Linked DNA regions of Arabidopsis thaliana. The protein of the gene in region 1 interacts with the protein of each later gene in a pairwise test. Each region holds a gene or a part of one and is shown on either strand. Other genes may lie near its edges. The genes, in order: SERK5, ABCG13, AT3G13410 and ARD4.

Region 1 (6,769 bases):
ATATTTGTTCTATTTATAATTCAGTTAGAGATCAAATAGTGATTTGATACCTTTTTAATTTTCTGAATTTTTGATAAATATAGATTTGTTAGTTTTAGGCAATATTTAATAAAACGGTTTGATTACGTTTTTTGATAAATATATCTTTATTGTTTTTTATTACGTTGAATCAGATTTTTATTTTTGTTGTAAGATATCGTCAATGATTTTATCAGAAAAGGTAGTTTTAAGATTGATTTAATGGTCTTGCTCTATTTGTTATATTTTATAATTCGGTTAGAGATAAAATAATGATTTGATTTGTCCTCTTTATAATTGTCCATGATGACTTATTTCAGATTCATAGTTAGCACAAAACTTTGAACTTTTTTGCCTATATAAGAACAAATCAAACAAGAACACCATCTATATTTGCTAGATAAAAATAAAAAACCAACAGTGGCGACTTGAACATCAGAGACAAAAGAACGACCTCGATTTAATCAAATTGTGGGTAAAATAACTTTCAAAATTGACCCATTTAAAACAGATGGTCATGATATAAAAACGGGAAAAATGTCGTTTAATCCCCCAACTTTCCAAAAATGGCCAATCAATACGTCAATTTTGTAGGAGGCCATTTAAAACATCAACTTACAATTGACTAACATTTAAAACACGAACTTTGCGTTGACTAGGCCTAATAAGACCGACGTTAAATCGATTAACAGATCCATTAGACGACGTTAAGAACTGTTATCATCTCTCTGTTAGTGAAGAAACGACGACGTTTTAAAGCTTAATAGATAACCCGATTGTTTGTCGAAAATCCCCAAATCAAATACTTCAAATCCCTAATTCCCTAATTCTCTTCTTCTTCTCTAAATTCTCCATCAAAAGCTGAAGAAATGAGTTGCAAATCTGGGAATTCTAACTAATGGCATCCACGAACACACTTTCAAGATCGTTGGAGATAAATTAGGGTTTGTTTTTGATTTGGGGATGAATTCGATTTGAGGATTTCTTCTCGACAAATCCCTAATTGGGTTATCAATTACGCCTAAAACGTCGTCGTTTCTTCACAAACAGAGAGATGATAACGGTTCTTAACCTCGTCTAATGGATCTGTTAATTGATTTAACGTCGTGTTTTATTAGGCCTAGTCAACGCAAAGTTCATGTTTTAAATGTTAGTCAACTGTAAGTTGATGTTTTAAATGGCCTCCTACGAAGTTGACGTATTGATTGGCCATTTTTTGAAAGTTGGGGGATTAAACAACATTTTTCCCATTTAAAAACTGGCCAAAAACCAATGACTAAGATTTTATTTGATCATCGGGTCAAAACTCACAAGTATCGGGTTAGGCAACCCCCTCGTTCTTCAAATAAAATTATTTAAATGAGGTTTGATATCCTAAAACGTTTATAAATTTGATTATAAAACTTTAGCATTTGCCCATATGTTTGCAAATTCATTAAGACATTAAATTCAATTGTAACAATTATTTGCAAATGAATAATCAACGTAATCCACATATTTATAATTTTATATGCAAAATAATCAAATACAAAATATTTTAACAACTTACATTATTATTAGTATATTAAAAATATAATAATATTGTCTACCACATAACTATAACTATTTTAAAAAAAAATCTTAAACAAACTTAAAAACAGATTTTTTTTTATCCAACACTGTATTATGAAAGATTAAATAAAATTGTGTACTACACAACAACACCAACAATTATCTAACTAAAATAAATATTTAACAAGAATAAAATAAAAATGTATTTTTTCTACTACAATAACATCTAGTAAAATATAAATTCACAATTTCGAATCTGAAAAAAACATTAATTATTATCTAGTAAAATAAATTAGTCTTACAGTCACAATAAATCACTTACCTCACTTTTAGAAAAATAGAACTTTAAAAGTTGAGATAAGTATCTAATGGCCCAGCCTCGGCCCATTTACCCAATTCTGGATCCGGATATTATCAGCATCACTTTCGTTTTTTTGCAAGTAGCAGAGCATTCTCCATGTTTGAGAAACCCAAAGTTCCAAATTCCAAAATTGGTCAAAGCTCGATAACGTGTGTATTGCTTCTCTTAGTCAATGGTGATTTCGATTCATTGACTGGGTTTAAAAACCTTGCTAGTTCTCAATTCTCATGACTTTGCTTTTAGTCTTAGAAGTGGAAAATGGAACATGGATCATCCCGTGGCTTTATTTGGCTGATTCTATTTCTCGATTTTGTTTCCAGAGTCACCGGAAAAACACAAGGTTTCTTTCTTCTTCATTTGAATTTTCTCATTCGGGTTTCAAAAGAGAGACTTTTTTTTGTTTGCAATTTTGTAAAGGCAACAACTTTATTCCCTTGATCCCTTGTTGATGTAAAGGCAACAACTTTGTTTTTTTTACAGTTGATGCTCTCATTGCTCTAAGAAGCAGTTTATCATCAGGTGACCATACAAACAATATACTCCAAAGCTGGAATGCCACTCACGTTACTCCATGTTCATGGTTTCATGTTACTTGCAATACTGAAAACAGTGTTACTCGTCTGTAAGTTTCTTTCACTCTCTCTCTGCTGGTTTTATAACTGAATGATTCAAGCCTTTTACTGCTCAGTGACCTGGGGAGTGCTAATCTATCTGGAGAACTGGTGCCACAGCTTGCTCAGCTTCCAAATTTGCAGTACTTGTATGCTTCATCTTATTTTCTGATTGCTAATTATGTATCTTGTTTGTTACATATTGCATAATGTTTTCTGTAACATGGATTTTTGCTAGTTTAAGATATTTCCTATTGACGAATTCTCTCTAATCAGAAATATAATTAAGCAAATCTTAATGACAGGGAACTTTTTAACAATAATATTACTGGGGAGATACCTGAGGAGCTTGGCGACTTGATGGAACTAGTAAGCTTGGACCTTTTTGCAAACAACATAAGCGGTCCCATCCCTTCCTCTCTTGGCAAACTAGGAAAACTCCGCTTCTTGTATGTACTCTCTCCTTCTTCTATTAACCCCTTCAATACGCAGCTTTATTGTTTACAGTTTCGAAGTTTGGTTGTATTTTTCTTTGCTATAAAACTATTGCGTCTAACATTCAAGACCGTGTCACAATCTAATGTACTTATTTCCGGGGAGAGGGTTGTTTAGGGTAGCAGTGTTTTCTGGTAAATTATTTCATCTAGTAAAAGAATTCTGAATTCTTTAGTAAAATATTACCCTTGGAATATATTACATCACCTATAAAGAATTCACACTCCTTGGCCTTGTGAGCACAGTCCTCTGTCAAATTGTGATCCTTAGGGGAAGGCTTGAAGCTATTGAGTTAATGAATTTAGTTGTATGTCATTAGTTCGTTTCTGTAAGGAGACATTTGATGATAACCTTCCTTAGGTTTCGATAGAATCCAAGACCGGGTCCTATCGAAAGAGAGACCGTCGAATCTTCTAACCAAAAACTTCAGTGTACATGTGTAGAGTGAATGTTTCAGAAGTAGTTAGAGGCTAAGTGTACAAATTCTTTAAACAAATTCAGTCATTGCCCTACAAGTTCTATGCAGTTGGATAACATTATTTTTATAGATCAAACGTGTTGTTTGTCATTTGAACTCTTTAGTGGTTAATGTTGTTGACATGGGATCCTGCTGTAATGTATTTGGTTAGGCGTCTTTATAACAACAGCTTATCTGGAGAAATTCCAAGGTCTTTGACTGCTCTGCCGCTGGATGTTCTGTGAGTATAACTTTTATTCTCCTGAATTATATATGGTGCAATCTTGAGTTATGACAAAAATGTTATCATCCTGAAATGCAGTGATATCTCAAACAATCGGCTCAGTGGAGATATTCCTGTTAATGGTTCCTTTTCGCAGTTCACTTCTATGAGGTTTTCCTTCTTATTCTTAGTTTCATTCGTGATGGAGTGGTCAGAATAAATTACTTATTGCCTGAAAGTTATCTGCAGTTTTGCCAATAATAAATTAAGGCCGCGACCTGCATCTCCTTCACCATCACCTTCAGGTTTTCATTTTATTTGATGTATATCTTGTCGAGTTTCGTTCCACATTTTTTTATTTAATGGTTGGGTGCTTGTAAAGTATGGCATTTTCACATTAAGGTTTGTCATGTCTCTGCTAAGATTGATAAACTGCTTATTAAAAAAAAAGGCAACATTTTGATATCATTTTCCATTGGTTGGTGTTGAATAAGACAAGTGAGACATTCAGTTGAACTCGCCAGTCTGCTGAAGCAGAACAATGATGAACTCTCTAGTTTGGTAAAGTAACAAGGGTTAATTGACACTGTAAGAAAAGAAAGTGTTTACGGAAATTATGTGGGTAGCATGGGACATGAAGATATATTTGACACTTTTGAAGGTCTTTGATCTGAAAAATGTATTAGCTCTTTCACTTTTGGTCAAACATTCCACTTGGTTGATGCATCAGTAATTTTTCCCTTGAAAACTTTTCAATATATCACACAAGTGTGAATAATTTCTGTGCTAAGAAGCTTTGTGTTTATCTCAGGAACGTCTGCAGCAATAGTAGTGGGAGTTGCTGCGGGTGCAGCACTTCTATTTGCGCTTGCTTGGTGGCTGAGAAGAAAACTGCAGGGTCACTTTCTTGATGTACCTGGTTAGTCAACTCTCTTCATTTATTTTCCCATTGAAGCTTCTTCGGCTGATTTTAATCTCGTTTTGGTGAACCAAATTTTGCAGCTGAAGAAGACCCAGAGGTTTATTTAGGACAATTTAAAAGGTTCTCCTTGCGTGAACTGCTAGTTGCTACAGAGAAATTTAGCAAAAGAAATGTATTGGGCAAAGGACGTTTTGGTATATTGTATAAAGGACGTTTAGCTGATGACACTCTAGTGGCTGTGAAACGGCTAAATGAAGAACGTACCAAGGGTGGGGAACTGCAGTTTCAAACCGAAGTTGAGATGATCAGTATGGCCGTTCATAGGAACTTGCTTCGGCTTCGTGGCTTTTGCATGACTCCAACTGAAAGATTACTTGTTTATCCCTACATGGCTAATGGAAGTGTTGCTTCTTGTTTAAGAGGTACCACATTCTTTGTCCTAAAGGTTATTTGTCATATATTTTTGTTTTGTTTTGACTGGTTTGTGATTGGTCAGTTGGTAAGTATCTTATCTTTGATTTTCTATTATAGAGCGTCCTGAAGGCAATCCAGCCCTTGACTGGCCAAAAAGAAAGCATATTGCTCTGGGATCAGCAAGGGGGCTCGCATATTTACACGATCATTGCGACCAAAAGATCATTCACCTGGATGTGAAAGCTGCAAATATACTGTTAGATGAAGAGTTTGAAGCTGTTGTTGGAGATTTTGGGCTAGCAAAATTAATGAATTATAACGACTCCCATGTGACAACTGCTGTACGGGGTACGATTGGCCATATAGCGCCCGAGTACCTCTCGACAGGAAAATCTTCTGAGAAGACTGATGTTTTTGGGTACGGGGTCATGCTTCTCGAGCTCATCACTGGACAAAAGGCTTTCGATCTTGCTCGGCTTGCAAATGATGATGATATCATGTTACTCGACTGGGTATGTTTTTAATAGTTCCCGATCATATTTTTGAGTTCAAAACTGTTATTTTGCAATAAAGAGGAGTGTTTCTTTTCTGGGTGTGATTAGGTGAAAGAGGTTTTGAAAGAGAAGAAGTTGGAAAGCCTTGTGGATGCAGAACTCGAAGGAAAGTACGTGGAAACAGAAGTGGAGCAGCTGATACAAATGGCTCTGCTCTGCACTCAAAGTTCTGCAATGGAACGTCCAAAGATGTCAGAAGTAGTGAGAATGCTGGAAGGAGATGGTTTAGCTGAGAGATGGGAAGAATGGCAAAAGGAGGAGATGCCAATACATGATTTTAACTATCAAGCCTATCCTCATGCTGGCACTGACTGGCTCATCCCCTATTCCAATTCCCTTATCGAAAACGATTACCCCTCGGGGCCAAGATAACCTTTTAGAAAGGGTCATTTCTTGTGGGTTCTTCAACAAGTATATATATAGGTAGTGAAGTTGTAAGAAGCAAAACCCCACATTCACCTTTGAATATCACTACTCTATAATACTAATCATATCTACTATACTTTCTCTCCACTTCCATTAAGCAATAAAAACTATTCTTAAATCTTTGTATGCATCTTTGTAGAATATAGAAATTCATATAAACATAAATAGTAATGTTGCTTTATAACCCCTAATTTAAAAATGATGATCTTGACTACCCACACCACCAATACATTGTAGGAATCATCATGATAGGAGCTTTTGCTTATGGAAGAGAATGAGGATAAAATGTAATGGCAAGTATGTTATACCATAAAGAATCTATCATATCCATTTAAAGTTAGGCGGCTTTTTGTAGAATTCTATAATTTATGTTCATAATGGCGTCATGCTTGCTTTTGGTACTCCCAAAAATAAATCTTGATCGAACCCATATTTGCCTAAGAAATACAATGTGCTCACATACAAACTTCATATAGATTTGATGTATTTTTATCTTGAACAAACTACAAAGCATATAGTTGTCTGGCTAGTTAAAAGCTAGTAATGAGAATAATAATTTAGTTATGTATTTGGAGTTTTGTTTGGTTATAGCTGTTTAAACCATTGATTGTATTAATATTTTCGCATAAATTAATTTCTGTTATTTTACTTAAAATTATCTTGAAATTTAAAGATTACTCAAACATGATAATTTATAAAACGTAGACATATAACAAATTATCAACAATTATTTAGTT
Region 2 (6,913 bases), on another chromosome or scaffold:
TTTTTTTTTTGGTTAAACAAAAAATTGATTATAGTTATGATATGGAAAAGATGGAAGAAGTCATTTAATAAGTTTATCTAACAATCTATGATTAGGTTATCGCAGTAATGAATTTTCTTTCTTAGCAGAAATGAATAATTTAGTCACACTAACTACATAGCTTTAATTTCTGTTGATACAATTGAAGACAAGAAGACATAAACGTTGAAACAGTGTATTTGGTACTGTGTATGTGTTTGATTAGCACGAAACATGGTTAAAAACATCACATGGTTAAAACAAATCCGTCACCATCTGTTTTTTTTTTTTTTTTTACAACATACTTGTTTTCCATTCGTCATATCCGAAAGAGAATAAATTTGCAAGCTCTTCAAATTCATGGTTCGGTATTATAATCTTAAAAAAAATATATAAACTTACAATATAAATAGAACGATAGGTTTGATAAACAATAAAAATAGATGATAGGGGGCCATAAATAAAAACTCGAAAACAAAAGTTAAATAGCAAAATGCAACAAGCAAGCTCATGATGTGTCGAATACACTTCTGCAAACAATTTGGGGGAGATTAAAAATAGTCACTATAAAAAAAATCTTATGACGTTGAGAATCCGTCTTTTGCCTCAAAAATTACCAACACGAACCACATTGAAGCAGCAAGGAACATTGGACGGTTTCTTTCCAGAGGCAGAAACTAAATAGTATATCTCAATAAGAAATTTAACATACGACCAAAATTAATTGCTTTATAAAAATAATTAAAATATTAATGATAACCTTTTCCGTGGTTAATTTTCGGCCATTATGATAAAATAATTGATCCAATCATATGTTTACACAACATACTTAAAATTCCTTATATACTCTCTTGATTACTTTCTTACCAGTTACATAAACTCAATATGCAACAACTAGATTACTTTAATCTAAACGTTCTGATATACGGCCTTATGTCGATGTTAAGTTATATATATCACGTTCACAATGTATATAAATAATTCAAATAATTTTCCAAAAGTAATGGCGTCTAAATATAGTTGAGTTGAATAGTATAGACTCTCCTCATGGATTTGAATTTCCTCTGTGATTCGTTTGAAAAAAAACAATGTTTTGGAGTGCTATACTAGTTGATACACCCAACCAAATCGGAATTTTATAAAAAATTTGGACAAAATTACCAGAAAATAAAATTATTGCAATTTACGTGATATATACCCTAAAGTGTTATGTTTCCTTAAATCGTGTAACGAAACCATAAGTTTCTTATCATGCGGATGTCTGTAGCTCTCGACATATATAGTACCGAACGGGTCCAACGAGTAAATGAATATAACATCAAACGTCAATTTTTCTGTCACATGCCTCGTCTATGCATGCATGATAGTGTACATATATAATAGTTTCCTTTCTGTCTTTTACACTATTCTTAATCCACTTTTCTGTTTTGCATGGGTAGATATTTTGTTTTGGTTTCATAAAATAAATAGAAACCAATATCATTTAGTTTGGTTCGATTTTTCTTCGGATTCTAAATTTTTTTTATTTTATTTTAACTAAACTATATGTTTTATTTATTTTTAGTCATGATTTATTTTATATATCAAAAATATGTAACCGAATTTATTACATCTAGTTTTTTCCAATCACTTTCTTTGGTACAGTTTCGGTTTGACTCAAATTAGTTTAAACCAATTTGGACCACCCTAATTTATACATTTTTTTTTTCAAAGACCCTAGTTCTCTTAATACATTCACCGCACAACTTTTTATAACTATAAATAAGGCCACAAGCATTCACACACATTACACTTTTCTCTCCCAAAGAAACAAAAAAAAAAACTCTTAAGCTAGAACAAGTTTAAAACTCTTCGCTCAGTTTTCGATCTATCTAACAAAAGCATACATGACTACGCCGGAGGGGGCGATGTATGTGGCGTGGGAGGATCTTACGGTGGTGATACCAAACTTCGGTGAAGGAGCAACTAAGAGATTACTGAATGGAGTGAATGGTTGTGGTGAGCCAAATAGGATCTTAGCTATTATGGGTCCTTCAGGTTCAGGCAAATCTACGCTTCTTGATGCTTTAGCAGGTCCCTTCTCTCTCTCTCAGACACACACACCCATACATGTCAAGATTAGCTCGTCGTTTTTATTATGTATTTCTTTTATTGTTAAATGGTTTTCCTCTATTATATAAATCTCAAATAAGCTGAAGCAACATCGACCAACAATTAAAAGATATAGTTTTTAGAGGAATTTAACAACCAACCACATTTAGCTTTGAAACCAACATTAAAGGATGAGACTTACCCACTTTGAACCTAGTATTTAGTGAATCGTTCTATGTACTCTATATATATATATATATAACTATAATTAACAATATACATGACGTTATGTCTTTCTTTTAAAAAATTGTCCAAGGAAACTTTCTCAATATACTATGTAAAAAGTGTTTCACTTTTGGAAAATAAGAAATTTCTGTTTTCTTACATTAAAAAATATTCACAAATCTTTTAGTAATTTTTATTTGGAATTGATAAGGATTTCTGCCATTCGTAGTTAAATTTGAGAATATAAGTTAGAATTTATTTGTTAGATATATATATATATATATATATATAGGTGTATGTCTGTGCGTGGGTGGGTGTGTGTCCTATTCAACATAAAATATTTAATTATTATTAACCTGTAAATTCGTATGTAATCAAAATTAACTAATATGATACTTGATTAGTTTTTTGTATATTGGAAAAATACATTACTACAATAAAATTGATAACTTTCCTATTTGAAAGCAACAAACTATGTACATACTGTATCAGTATCACAATTTGGTGAAATGAAAATATTAACTGAAGTTTTTGTACTCTTCTGTAATTTTTTTTTTTTTTCTTCTGTAACTTTGACCAAACGTAACATATATATATGTAAAAGAAATTTGAGAGCATGATATAACATATTTATGTATCAAGATATTTATAACTATTGAAAAACAGTGCTATATTTATATCTAAGTTTCATGTACACGATGAGACATATATAGATATTTCTAACTTTATATTTATGGATTCTAGCTACCAATTTTATTTTTTAAGTATAGCTATATACTATCGGAGTACTAAATAAATATTAAAAAAAAAATAGTTGCAATTTTCATGTTCTTAATTAATAAATTTACATCGTCGTACATTTAGTATTGAATAAATTGATAGTTACGTTTCTCTAACGTAGACTATGTACAGAAATTTTGCAGTAACATTTCTTATTAAATCATATTTTAAATGTTAACCAACTACCAATCACCAATATTCTGACACAAATATTTAGGATTGCACGATCGTATCTTCATACCGACTTGCGATCTCTTCACAAGTTGAACCCGGTTTGGTGACTGGTCGGACTCTTTGAGGGATGTTACGTTCAATCCAAAAACAATCCAAATCGATTATTATTTTCTTGACCAAACCTAAATTTGATTGGATTAAGAAGATCTTTATTTTATGCTTATGACTAATCGAAACCAATTTAATTTTACTGTGGCTAATATTCTTGTAAAAGCGAAAAACCCAAAACCGGGTTATAAGATTGTTCTATCAATGCTATAAGATTGTTCAAAAACATGAAAGATTTAACATCTAACATTAAAAGGTAAATTTGGTGATGGTACAGGAAGATTAGCAGGGAATGTTGTAATGAGTGGCAAAGTACTTGTCAATGGCAAGAAGAGAAGACTTGACTTTGGTGCTGCCGTAAGAAAATTTATCTTTTCTCTTTAGTTTTTACCCTTTTACACAATCAAACTATTATTATTCATGAATGTCCTAAACTCTCAGGCTTATGTGACGCAAGAAGATGTGTTGCTAGGAACTTTGACAGTGAGAGAATCCATATCTTACTCGGCTCATCTCAGGCTCCCTTCAAAGCTTACCAGAGAAGAGATCAGTGACATTGTGGAAGCTACAATCACTGACATGGGTCTTGAAGAATGTTCAGACAGGACCATTGGAAACTGGCATTTGCGTGGAATAAGCGGAGGAGAGAAGAAACGGCTTAGTATTGCCCTCGAGGTCTTAACAAAACCAAGTCTCCTCTTTCTAGACGAACCAACTAGTGGACTGGACAGTGCTTCAGCTTTCTTCGTGGTTCAGATTCTTAGAAACATAGCAAGCAGTGGCAAAACTGTGGTTTCTTCGATCCATCAGCCGAGTGGTGAGGTTTTCGCCCTCTTTGATGACCTGCTACTTCTGTCTGGAGGAGAAACTGTTTACTTTGGCGAAGCAGAATCTGCAACAAAGGTAATAAGATAGAGCATTGGCAAGAGTATATAACCATTATGCTCATTTGTGTTGTTGTTGCTTCGACATTGCAGTTCTTTGGTGAAGCAGGTTTTCCTTGTCCAAGTAGACGGAATCCATCAGACCACTTCCTTCGCTGTGTCAATTCCGATTTCGATAATGTCACAGCGGCTTTGGTTGAATCTCGGAGAATCAACGTTTGTTTTCCTCTGCCCTTCTTGTTTTTTCATGAACTTACAATACTCTCAAGCTTTTGACCTCGACCTTTTACATCTGCAGGATTCATCTTTCTCTCTTCACCAACTACATGAAACTACAAACACATTAGATCCTCTGGATGATATACCAACTGCAGAAATTAGAACAACACTTGTCAGAAAATTTAAGTGTTCACTTTATGCAGCAGCTTCAAGAGCAAGAATTCAAGAAATAGCATCGATAGTAAGTTACGGTTACTACTTCCCTTAAAACTACAATGTATCACATAATGAGAGTCTCATAAGCACAGTTATAAACCTTGTGCAACAGGTGGGGATTGTCACAGAAAGGAAAAAGGGGAGCCAAACTAATTGGTGGAAACAACTCAGAATACTTACTCAGCGATCTTTCATCAACATGAGTAGAGACTTGGGGTACTACTGGATGCGGATTGCAGTCTACATAGTGTTATCCATTTGTGTCGGGTCAATCTTCTTCAACGTCGGGAGAAACCACACAAATGTTATGAGTACTGCAGCTTGTGGCGGATTTATGGCAGGCTTTATGACATTCATGTCAATAGGAGGATTCCAATCCTTCATTGAAGAAATGAAGGTAAAGAGCTAAACAGAGAAAAATTCTCTTTCTTCACCTAAAAACTTATCTTATGTTTTAGCATCTTTATTCCTGAAAACAGGTGTTTTCTCGCGAAAGGCTCAATGGACACTATGGGGTTGCAGTATACACTGTGTCTAATTTACTCTCCTCATTACCTTTCATAATCCTTATGTGCCTCTCCACCAGCTCAATCACTATCTACATGGTGAGGTTCCAATCCGGAGGTTCTCATTTCTTCTACAACTGTCTCGACCTTATCTGCGCGATTACAACTGTGGAGAGTTGCATGATGATGATAGCTTCAGTAGTCCCTAACTTCTTGATGGGAGTCATGTTGGGAGCTGGTTACATTGTAAGAGTGGCCTCTGTCGCTCTTTCACCTACAAGCTTTCTTATATCTCCAAAAACTATTCTAAATTGAAAACCGCTTTATCCTTCATCTCATAGGGAATTATGGTGTTAAGTGCGGGGTTTTTCCGATTCTTCCCCGACTTACCAATGGTGTTCTGGCGATACCCGGTGTCCTACATAAACTATGGTGCATGGGCACTACAGGTAACCAGGTTTTCTCAACTTTAAGATGCAGACTATATCGTCAAGTAGCTATCTTAAATGAGCATACCTGATAAATTGCAGGGAGCATACAAGAATGAGATGATTGGGGTGGAGTATGATTCTCCGTTACCCTTGGTACCAAAAATGAAAGGAGAACTCATTCTTCAAACTGTTCTAGGCATAAATCCAGAAAGTTCAAAGTGGTTGGATCTAGCAGTTGTGATGATGATTCTCATTGGGTATAGGATTGCCTTCTTCGCCATCCTCAAGTTCCGGGAAAAGGTTTTCCCAGTTATTCACATGTTATACACAAAGAGAACTCTGAGCCATATCCAGAAAAGGCCTTCTTTCAGAAGAATGACACCTTTCCCTTCCAGGCGATACCCTGTTCACCATGCTCTCTCTTCTCAGGAAGGACTTAACTCTCCACTGCATTAGAAGCATATACAGCAGGATGCAATTTCCATATATTTCAATATGTCAGATGTCACTCTCTTCAAACTTGATAAACTGTTTGTAGCCCGTTGTGTAAGGAAAAAAAAAAGAAAAGAGAGATACTATCATTCTGACTAATGAGATTTGTTTAGCATGAGGATGGTATCTATCAGAGATACATATATTGGAGAAAAAAGATAAGCATGGCTACATTATCAGATTACAAGTGATGCATGCATGAACCCCTAAGAGAGAGTCTACCAACGAACCACCGTAAATATATCAAATAAGGCACTTCGTTTGCTAACATAGCTTCAGAAGAAACTGTGTTATGGAAATCAAATAAACAGAAGATGGTATGGAGATTTGTTACCTGGCTGGCAGTAGAACACTGGTCCTTGCTTGATAGCACCAGTGACGCAAATCTATAATCTGTGCAGCACAAGAACAGAACAGACCAGGCATATTTGACTTTTATCACTAAGTGCCATGAAATCTCCTCTTTTAGCATATAGTTGATAGGGAATAGAATCAAAACTAACAAAAGTAACCTCCCAAAGGCGTTTGTTGAACAGATAGAGAACAAACAACGAGATACTTAAAACCTTAAAAGTGTAAAACCAAGCAAAAATGGTAAATTTTCAACTTTGGGAACCCAAATATAAGCTCCCAGAAATATTACATAGTAAGGAAAAAAAATACACAAACAATCAATAACTTTAAACAAATATGGCTAATCCAGTTGTAAAATCAGAAAAAACCAGTCTGATTATTTTAGAGTAGACATGTACAGAACTCATTTGTTGTT
Region 3 (4,786 bases), on another chromosome or scaffold:
ATGGTGACATGATTTTTTATAAATGTTTGTGTAAGAAAAAAAAAGATAAACATTGTTCATAAATGATGCTTTTGAAACTTCTTCGTAATTAGACAAATACAGTCATGTATTTGTTATAGTATAAACTTTGAAAAAAACAGGGATACGAATAGTGTTATGTTAGAATAAATGTAGGAGTATGTATAGTGGGGAAAAGATGAATAGAACCATCGTTTTCGGTCATTTTGATTCTTTATACGCTTCTTTATGGAGAGAGAGAGGTCAATCAAAGAATCTGAAAGATTGATCTTATGACTTTGTCAATAGGTCCATGCAGGGACCATAAGGACCCCAACATATGAAGATGTTTTGCTAAGTATTGAATCATGGAACAAATCAACGAAATAGTCAAAACAAAAGGTCTATCTAGATAAATTATAAACTGCTAATTGCTCAATCGATATTACTTAATAATGACTAAACATGCCGAGGCAAACATTAAATTTGGATTAGAATTGCATGTTGCATGACAAAACTTATATATGTATTCTTACTATTTTCTTAATTGTTCACAAAACTATCATCTATATCTATCTTTCTATCTATCTATACAAGTGATGGTACACACACATGTCCTACCACTCTGACTCTACCGACATTATTGTCCTGAGTTTTTTTCTTCCAGAAAATCTATGTCCGAATCCCCAAATTGATATGAATACGATACTATGAGCACGATAACTCCGGAATATAATCTAAGAAAAAGAAACAAAAAAAATTCTGAAAAAGAATGTAATCCGTTCTCCAGTGTATGTATCTCTGGTTTTTTACTCGTTCTCCATTATTAATTTATGACGTTTAAGAAAGACTCACAAACAAGATGAATAAATGATACAAGGGGATTTTATGGCATATGCAGATTTTGTTTTGAAGTAATAATGTAACAAATCGACATTGAAGTACCTTCCACAATGCGCACTATGCACAAGAAAAGACTCGTCAAAAGCAAAGCAAAAGGTGGGGATGGCTCTTAAGGTCAACAGCTTAAGAATCTTGAGGAGTCTCGAATCTAGTCGGTGTATCGATACCCGCCATACAGCAAAGTCCACTGATCAAGATGAGAAGAAAAACGATTCCCTGCAAAAAGAAAAAGAAAAGGACGAGACATAATCAAAGGCTTTTACGAAATTTTAACACATTGAATTAAATTATCTTCCAGCTAGATATGACCAAGATGCTCATTAAACTTGTCCATTCTATGATGTTTATGAATCTTTCTTGAGAACGATGAATACCAAAAAAACACGAGTAAAAAGAGTAATTACCACTAGTATGCCCTCCAAAAGTGATGACTTAAATTTGCAGAGTTCATCACAGCCAGTAGCAATTTCAGGAGTACTGTTTCCTTTAGCAGTTTCAGCTAGAAACCTTTGGAGAGTTTTGTAAGATGTGTACCAATAAGGATCAGAAACATAAAGAGCTGTATATTTACTGCCGGATTGTTCTACAGAACTAACAAGTTCCAAGAAGCTTTCACCTGCAGAATAGGTCAAAGAATTGCTTAATTTCCTAGTTCTCAAATGATATCTAATTGTTAGTATTATTTTGTAATGATCTTTCCACTTACGCTCTGAATGTGACTGTCCAGCTTGACTATTCGATTCAGAACCCTCGGAACAGAGCACAACCAAGTCAGTTTCTCCTTCTTTCCTTGTTTCTCTTCTAGCAAGCAAATGATCCTGTCAATTATTAATGAGTATTAGAAAGTGAAGTTAAGGGGGTGATAACACTGGGAAGGCATGGGATTAGGGAAAATAAAAACTTAAGAGCAATGAGTATTACTTTGAAAGACTGCAAGTCTGAAAGTTTCTGAATTGTTCCATCCTCAACAAAGCACGAATCTGAGAACACGATATTGCTGACTCCTACATTGTTGGGACAAGCTTCTTTAAGCCCTGAAAGTAACAAATTCTCCATCCTTTCTTCCTCTGGAGCAGCAATATATGGGAATGCCAATGAGAAGTTGGAAGCTGTAAATAGATTCTGTTGAAACAAAGACTTGGATGTTAGAGTATTGTAAACTTTATATCAAACAACTATGTCAGAGATCTGTGTTACGGATGCAATTTCGAAATTTCTTGTTGAAGAAAAGAAAATTTGCACTTACATTCAATGTGTTAACAAGGGCAGGATCTGAGTTCCTTTTTGAAGAAACATCAGAAGACAGTAACTGCAGGCGGAAGAGAACGTGAATATTAGAATTCTCAGCATAACACAGAAGATACAGAGCAAAGACGATTAATTTCCCGCAATATTAAAACATCAGTTTCTTTACAATATCACAACAAGAAACCAAAGATCCACAAGGTCATTTATGCTAATGTTAAAACAACAATACTACATCATTCAATTACCTCTCTGCCTATGAACACAAGTGCAACATCAACAGGTTGCTCAAGCTTCTTCTCTGAGCACTAAACAAAGGAGACAGTAATGACAATAAGAAAAATCATTTGACATCCAGTGAGTTGTAGAATTGAAATCATAAGATCATGAAGAAGAAACCATACCAGAAAGTTTGACCAACCTCCTTGAGTGAAAACAGAACCAACTAGATCCTTTGCAGACATGACCTGATAATTTACAGCCTCATCCAATTCACCATTAGCAGACCTGATTTTCAGAATCACATAAACCAATCAACCCAGTAATCTAAGCTAACTCACATCAGATATCACAAGTCCCAGGCTTTTTACACATTTCCATCAATCAAATTGAGAATTATAGAGAAAACAAGATGCATAACTGGAGATGCGGAGACCAGAGGAAAGCAGGAACTGTGTTCGGAGAAGCCAATCCGATTTCAAAGAGAGAGGCCACAGATAGAAACACCAATAGCGCCACCGCACCAATTTGAATCTTCTTCATCTTCGTCGTCGAAACAATTCTACCGGAGACAAAAGGAAAAAAAATCAATCGAACAATTCCTCACGCCTAACGAAACAATCAGCAAATTCAAAGATAATCACAAACCTAGAGAGATCGAGATCGCTTCCAGAAGTCGATGTATCAGTAGATTTTTATCGAACTTTCAAATCCAGAGAAAGAAGAGATTCATATCTCCGATCTTCAAATCTGGGCGACACATATGAGTAGTCGACATGTAAGGAATTAACGGCGTCGTTTTTGAAACGAAAATCGCTAACCGAGATAACCGGTTTCGGTTATGTTCAGATATTAACCGGTCTGAAGTTTTGGGCTTGATTAGGCTTTTAAAGATTTTCCAATACGGCCCAAAATTTCGTGACTCCGTTAAGCGTCCGTCACTCTGGACAAGAAACGGAAACCTCCTTAAATCTTATAATAACTTCGTCACGATTGAACGGAATATTTCGTTTCCTCATTTTTTTATTTTGTTGCCTCTTCTGCAACGCGATCCCGCCAAAGACACTCTTTACTTTCTCCCTCACGAAAATTCTCAAATCGTCGTTCTCTCTTGATTCACCGATTTCGTTCGCCGGAAAATTGCAATTTAGCATCAGAATCGTCGAGCCATTTTGTATTATGAAAGTCCATTGAAGTAACAAGTAACGAGAGCTGCGAGGTTGAGATTTTACGATGCTTTGTGTTTCGTTACGAAATCGAATACATAATTGGCTTCGCGACTACGTTAGGCTCCAATCTGTCGTTTTGATTCTTATCTATGCTCAGGTAAATCCGTAATCGCTTTGTAGTTGTTTCATTTCCTCCGATTTCACGTTTTTTCTCGTGAATTGTTCGTATCTGTTTGGGATTAGGGTTCTACGATTTCTCTGTCGATATTTGTTTGTTATTCTTTTAATTGTGGTTAGAAGTGCAAGAAACTCATATTGATGAATCATTTGTTTCAGATAGGGTGCGCGTTGATCGGTTCACTAGGGGCATTGTACAATGGAGTCGTGCTGATAAATTTGGCGATTGCGTTATTTGGGTTAGTAGCAATCGAGAGTAATAGCCAAAGTCTTGGCAGAACCTATGCGGTTCTTCTTTTCTGCGCCATTCTTCTTGATGTCTCATGGTTCATTCTCTTCTCCAAAGAGATTTGGTATGTCACTATCCTTGGAACAGCCGTGCTTGTGATCATGATCAAATATTTGGTTTAAGAGTTTGCTCTGTCTTGTTTAATTTTCATTGCATCACATATTGTAAACTGTCCTGAATTTCTCTTGATTGGCTCATCATCTTTTTGAACTGATTGATCTTTAAACCTTTTTTTTTGCAAATCTTTGCTATGTCGTGTTTAGATTCTGTTGAGCCAGTATTCATCTGCTGCCTATAACTGACAAAAGATTTAATTGTTAATGCAGGAACATTTCATCTGATATGTATCAAGTCTTTTACATCTTCTCTGTGAAACTCACCCTGGCTATGGAAATTGCTGGGTTCGTTGTGAGGCTATCGTCCTCTCTGTTATGGTTTCAGATCTATAGGCTGGGAGCTTCTATTATAGACTCTCCATTTCCCCGTCAATCAGATTCAGATTTACGGAATAGCTTCTTAGAACCTCCTCTTTTAGCTAGGCAACGTTCACGTGATCCAGAATTACGAAATAGCTTCTTACAGGCTCCTGCTATAGCTAAGCAACGTTCACGTTCTGACGAAATCTTGGAAGATTCTATTGACGAACCTGCCTCCTACACTCCTCTGTTAGATGGCGGCCTAAGCAATATCACTTTGCCCAATGCAACACAGGTCTTTTTATTTCTACCTATTCTTCTCTTAAGTTGTTTGTGTACTCATTGTAGTTGAGGTTTTTATACTTGGTTTG
Region 4 (4,595 bases), on another chromosome or scaffold:
TGAGAGATCATAGTGTCATACATTCATTGGAAGATGCTACTTTTGTGTTCTTTTGTCTTCTATGAATATCAGAAAATCTAAAATTTAATTAATCATTATAAATTTAGTGACTATGCTCCAACATTTATAAGCTTCGTTTTCGCCCATGACACGTTGTAGTGAATGCATAGAGATACGTTTCGTGGTTTGTTTGTTTATTCTGAAGTCAGAATGATGGGATTTTTGGTGGAACCCTTTGAAAGATTTGTGTAGAGAACAAGAGTATCCTTTGAAAATTTGATTGATCCTTGATTCAATTGAATTGGGTTGGGGGAAAACCAGATCTAACCACACCAAATCAAACGGTTAAGCACGACACAAGCAGAATTATACATTATATATATATATACAATTAATATATTGATAATGCATAATTTTAAGAAGATTTTGTAAAGAAGAGGTCATTTCAAATATAAGAAAATTTATGCTTTAACTTTTGAAGTACACTAACACTATATAAGTAATAATACTTGAATTACAGTTTGGAAAGCTCAAATAATTTATTCGAAAATCGTAGGGTTTTTTTAGTTATAAATTTCACGTTCGCAGCTGACATTTGTTTTTTAATGATACTTATTAGATAAATACACACTATTTTTTTTATGTATAAAAGCATACATCGCAAAAGTATGTTACAAGAACAACTATCCAGAAGGAGCCGCTGTTTTTATTTTACTGCTTAAGACTAAAGAGTAAACAATACATACAAATTACACAACAAGCATATATTAATATTGTTAATGTGCTTTAACGGTTTCTCCAAACTTGTAGGTTAAGCCGTGGATATACTTTTTCCTAACAGGATGTTCTTCCTGTGGCCGGTTATATGGTGTCCAAACCGGTTCCCCCACGAACAGCCTCATTAGCTGCAAAACCAAACCACCATACATCACAAACCAACAATCAAATCTTTTAACATAAGATATTAAGATGTAATATTTCATTTGCGTATTCATATAAATTAGTAAATTAGTATAGAGACTGAGTTTGGCTTTTTGTACCTTGATGTAGTTGCTGGCGTCGAGTGTGAACCGGTGGTAGATTCCGGCAGGAAGGACAATGAGATCGCCAGGTTGCATCCAGATACGGATCCAACGATCATCCTTGTCCCTAACATCAAAGTAGCCACTTCCTGCTAGGCAGTACCGAATCTCTTCGTCCTTGTGAATGTGTTCTGTGAAAAAGTTCTTCAGCTTTTCTTCGTAGTTGCTGACTTTCTCGGGACACAGATCCAGCAAATCCTAAAATGAAGATTAACCAAAGTAATCATTCTGCTTGAGAAAATTAGTTTATAGCTCATAAGTTACAATGCTACACACCACACAAATAGCTTAATTATTTTTAACGTAAACCAAACGTTTTAATGTTCCCTTAATACTCAATTACAGAGAAGCCTTCTTCCTTAATAAGCTGGTTTCTAAAATGTTTGTAGTCATACTACCCCTTAATGGTTATGCAAGATTATAGTCCTACTGTCCTATGATACATGTTTTTTTTTTTCATGAGATTAGCGTGCAGAGATAACAAGTAAAGGAACTGAAACATCAATAGCCGCTTATGGTGAGCATGAGTTAAAAAAGGGTGATCAGAAAGACATAAGCCGTAGCAAATCCTGTACTCTAATACTCATAAGGCTTCTTTCTTCATAGGCTGGTTTTGTAAGGTTTGAGTACTACCTTCATTATGTAGTCCTACACTCCTACTGTGTCTAGTATATGTCACAATCGTTAATCTCATGAGATCAACATGCAACGATATGCAACAAGTTAAAAAACAGAGACATTCAATTGGCATTTATGATGAGCATGAGTGTTCCTAAGTTAAGAAAAAACAGTGATCAGGAAGAGATAATATGCGTACCATGTAATCGTAACCCCTGTCTTCTCTAATCTTGCTAAGTTCAGAATCATTCTCGTAGTTCTCAGGGTTCAACTTCCAGTACAACACTCCCAACTCTACAAAACACAACAACTATATTTGTGATATTTGCATAATTTATGATTCTGTTAAATCTCATCTTGGGTAAATTTGACCATTTCCTTAGTTTTAAGACGGTTTACGTTTAGTTTCCTCATGTAGAATCACTACTCAATACAATAAAGCATGAAAGATTGATGTTTTTCAAAAGTTGCAAAGTAAGAGTAATTTTTAAGGTAGAGAATTGAAAAGACCTGCCAAGTAATCCAACGAGACGAGTTCTTTCGGGTTACGATGATGAGGAAGTCTCTGGTCCTCATTGCTATCATCCATAAACCATGCCTGCATCAATCAACACTTAAGCCTCAGGGAAAGAAAAAAATCTCAAGAAAAAACTTTTGATTCAATTTTCAATTTCAGCTGCAAAACGGTAAAATCAAATCCCAATTCTCAGTTCTGCCAAAATCAAATCAAATCCCCAAAATAATTCCGAAAGAGCAACGATAATCACTATTGAACGAATCGAGATTCGAAATCAGAATCTAGAACCTATGAATCAGAACTCACCTCGAGAGCCATTAATGATCTTCGTTGTGTAAATGCTTTTTTGATTTCAGACTCATCAGAGTGATGAAGATCAGATAAATAAATGGCTATTTCCTCCGTCGATGATAGCCACGTGTACGATCACTTTAATTCGTATTATTTTCCTTTCTCCTAATTTTTATTAATTCTGGTTTCGAAATTCTAATAATAAAAAATCGTTATTTTTTCTTTTGCACGAAAAAAACAACCGTTTTCGAGCCACAATGATCATGAATGAATAAGACCAAAACATTGGCTCATTTGTATGATATTGTATTTTCTGAGGTTCATATATTTCCATCTGATTTGAACTAGAATGATCTATATTCAGATATATAATTTATATTTCAAACTTGAAATTAGTTTTAACTAGAAAAAAAAAATGTAATCCAAAATCGTACATAGGTATATATATTTTTTTTCCACAAATCGTACATAGGTAATGAGGTAATGTTTAACACTTTAACTTGGGCCGTGTAATACAAATTGGGCCGTTTAACACTTTAAATTAGTCTCGAATGTTATATAATGTTTTTTTTTTTTTTAAATTGGACTAGAGAAAAAGTAGTCTAGTATGAAGTACAAAGCCCATTCCTTGTACCCAGCAACAGCATATCAATTTATTTTTTTGCTAAGAGCATATCATATCATATCAATTTTTTTCTCTTCTATATTTTAATTTTTAATACTTCTTAGTCATAAATCTTTTGACCATTTATTATTAAATTTAATCTGAAACACAAAGTAACTTTCTTACAAAAATTCAAATCTCCAATTATTTTGTTTGAATTTAAATATTTTTTAAAATTCCAAAAAATCTCATATATATAGGATCTGACTTTGTTTAAATATAGAGAAATTTAACTAGACTATAATAAAAAGACTTCATAAAATTTATTACCCAAAATTAGAAAAAATCAGGTTTCAATACTGAAAATAGACTATGAATATATGGCCTTATGATTGTAGTTGTTATATTCCATGCACACATAAGTAATTTCTTTCTATTTGATTTGTTTTTTAAAAAAAAATATTTAGAAGTTTAAATTTAAAGGTCTTATATTTTTTAGAGATGGGACACAAGTTAAATTTATATTCTTTAGAAAATAGATTCTTTTCAACAGACGTTTAATCCAATATCTACATCTGGAAGATTTATCATTACACCAACCCCAATAATATAAGTAATTTAACATAAGTAATTTTTTTCTATTTGATTTTGTTTATGTGCTCTTTAAAATTAACCAAGATTTCAACGGCCATACTTCTTATAACTTTTAATAATATCTCTACTCACCTCATTCTCATGAACCCACCAAACAAAAAAAGTAAAGAAAAGAAAAACTAATAAAGAACAAAAAAAATGTCCTCTTCTTCATCAAGAAACGCCTTTGAAGATGGCAAATACAAATCAAATCTCTTAACCTTGGACTCATCATCTCGTTGCTGCAAAATAACACCGTCTTCTAGAGCTTCACCGTCTCCGCCAAAGCAGCTGTTGGTGGCTACGCCGGTGGAGGAAGGAGATTATCCGGTGGTGATGCTCCTCCATGGTTACCTTCTCTACAACTCCTTCTATTCTCAGCTTATGTTGCATGTCTCTTCTCATGGCTTCATCCTCATCGCTCCTCAGGTTCAATTTCAATTTCCAATCATTACATTAGTTCAGGAACTAATTAGCCACTGAAATTCTTGTTTAGTTTTAGATTCCTATGTGTATTAGTAATTTAGTATAGAAATTATTTTTTGGGGGGTCAAACTAGTGTATAGTTTTTGTTTAATTAGTAAAATGTTATGAGTTATTTTTATGGAAATGGTACTATCGGAATTGTTAAATCCAGTGTATAGTTTTTGTTTAGGGATTTAGTATTAGTGTAGAGTTTAGAAAAATGTAAATTCGCTACAATCTCGTTCCATTCCATTTTGTGCAAATATTGCATGTGACTGACTACTTGGTCCTTTGAGGTTTAGTGTGAATGTTCATGAATATGTAGGTCCATGTATTAAGATATTCTAGTTGAATCCAAAAAAATCATAATAAATACATATACATT

What was found.
Region 2: the proteins of SERK5 (region 1) and ABCG13 interact in a protein complementation assay, tested with the Arabidopsis thaliana proteins (one large-scale study listed by BioGRID).
Region 3: the proteins of SERK5 (region 1) and AT3G13410 interact in a protein complementation assay, tested with the Arabidopsis thaliana proteins (one large-scale study listed by BioGRID).
Region 4: the proteins of SERK5 (region 1) and ARD4 interact in a two-hybrid assay, tested with the Arabidopsis thaliana proteins (one large-scale study listed by BioGRID).

The regions. Positions count from the first base shown.
Region 1 is NC_003071.7:5,751,088-5,757,856, forward strand, and holds SERK5 (somatic embryogenesis receptor-like kinase 5), read left to right. Parts: upstream 1-2,015; 5' UTR 2,016-2,188; coding exon 2,189-2,270; intron 2,271-2,410; coding exon 2,411-2,552; exon of another isoform or gene 2,553-2,618; coding exon 2,619-2,690; intron 2,691-2,846; coding exon 2,847-2,990; intron 2,991-3,665; coding exon 3,666-3,734; intron 3,735-3,815; coding exon 3,816-3,887; intron 3,888-3,965; coding exon 3,966-4,021; intron 4,022-4,527; coding exon 4,528-4,635; intron 4,636-4,718; coding exon 4,719-5,060; intron 5,061-5,169; coding exon 5,170-5,564; intron 5,565-5,654; coding exon 5,655-5,978; 3' UTR 5,979-6,266; downstream 6,267-6,769. UniProt on the Arabidopsis thaliana protein: Serine/threonine-kinase of unknown function.
Region 2 is NC_003070.9:19,076,327-19,083,239, reverse strand, and holds ABCG13 (ABC-2 type transporter family protein), read left to right. Parts: upstream 1-1,788; 5' UTR 1,789-1,904; coding exon 1,905-2,091; intron 2,092-3,673; coding exon 3,674-3,753; intron 3,754-3,837; coding exon 3,838-4,299; intron 4,300-4,373; coding exon 4,374-4,496; intron 4,497-4,578; coding exon 4,579-4,740; intron 4,741-4,827; coding exon 4,828-5,112; intron 5,113-5,194; coding exon 5,195-5,467; intron 5,468-5,562; coding exon 5,563-5,670; intron 5,671-5,751; coding exon 5,752-6,108; 3' UTR 6,109-6,402; downstream 6,403-6,913.
Region 3 is NC_003074.8:4,361,126-4,365,911, forward strand, and holds AT3G13410 (2-C-methyl-D-erythritol 4-phosphate cytidylyltransferase), read right to left. Parts: upstream 3,192-4,786; 5' UTR 3,013-3,191; intron 2,927-3,012; 5' UTR 2,908-2,926; coding exon 2,786-2,907; intron 2,653-2,785; coding exon 2,550-2,652; intron 2,454-2,549; coding exon 2,394-2,453; intron 2,210-2,393; coding exon 2,147-2,209; intron 2,023-2,146; coding exon 1,822-2,022; intron 1,719-1,821; coding exon 1,607-1,718; intron 1,517-1,606; coding exon 1,305-1,516; intron 1,117-1,304; coding exon 1,024-1,116; 3' UTR 510-1,023; downstream 1-509. Other genes in the region: AT3G13420 (uncharacterized protein), read left to right, coding at 3,598-3,690, 3,870-4,063, 4,326-4,710.
Region 4 is NC_003076.8:17,626,588-17,631,182, forward strand, and holds ARD4 (RmlC-like cupins superfamily protein), read right to left. Parts: upstream 2,777-4,595; 5' UTR 2,536-2,776; coding exon 2,524-2,535; intron 2,299-2,523; coding exon 2,211-2,298; intron 1,995-2,210; coding exon 1,900-1,994; intron 1,281-1,899; coding exon 1,041-1,280; intron 906-1,040; coding exon 777-905; 3' UTR 545-776; downstream 1-544. Other genes in the region: CLH2 (chlorophyllase 2), read left to right, coding at 3,905-4,174. UniProt on the Arabidopsis thaliana protein: Catalyzes 2 different reactions between oxygen and the acireductone 1,2-dihydroxy-3-keto-5-methylthiopentene (DHK-MTPene) depending upon the metal bound in the active site.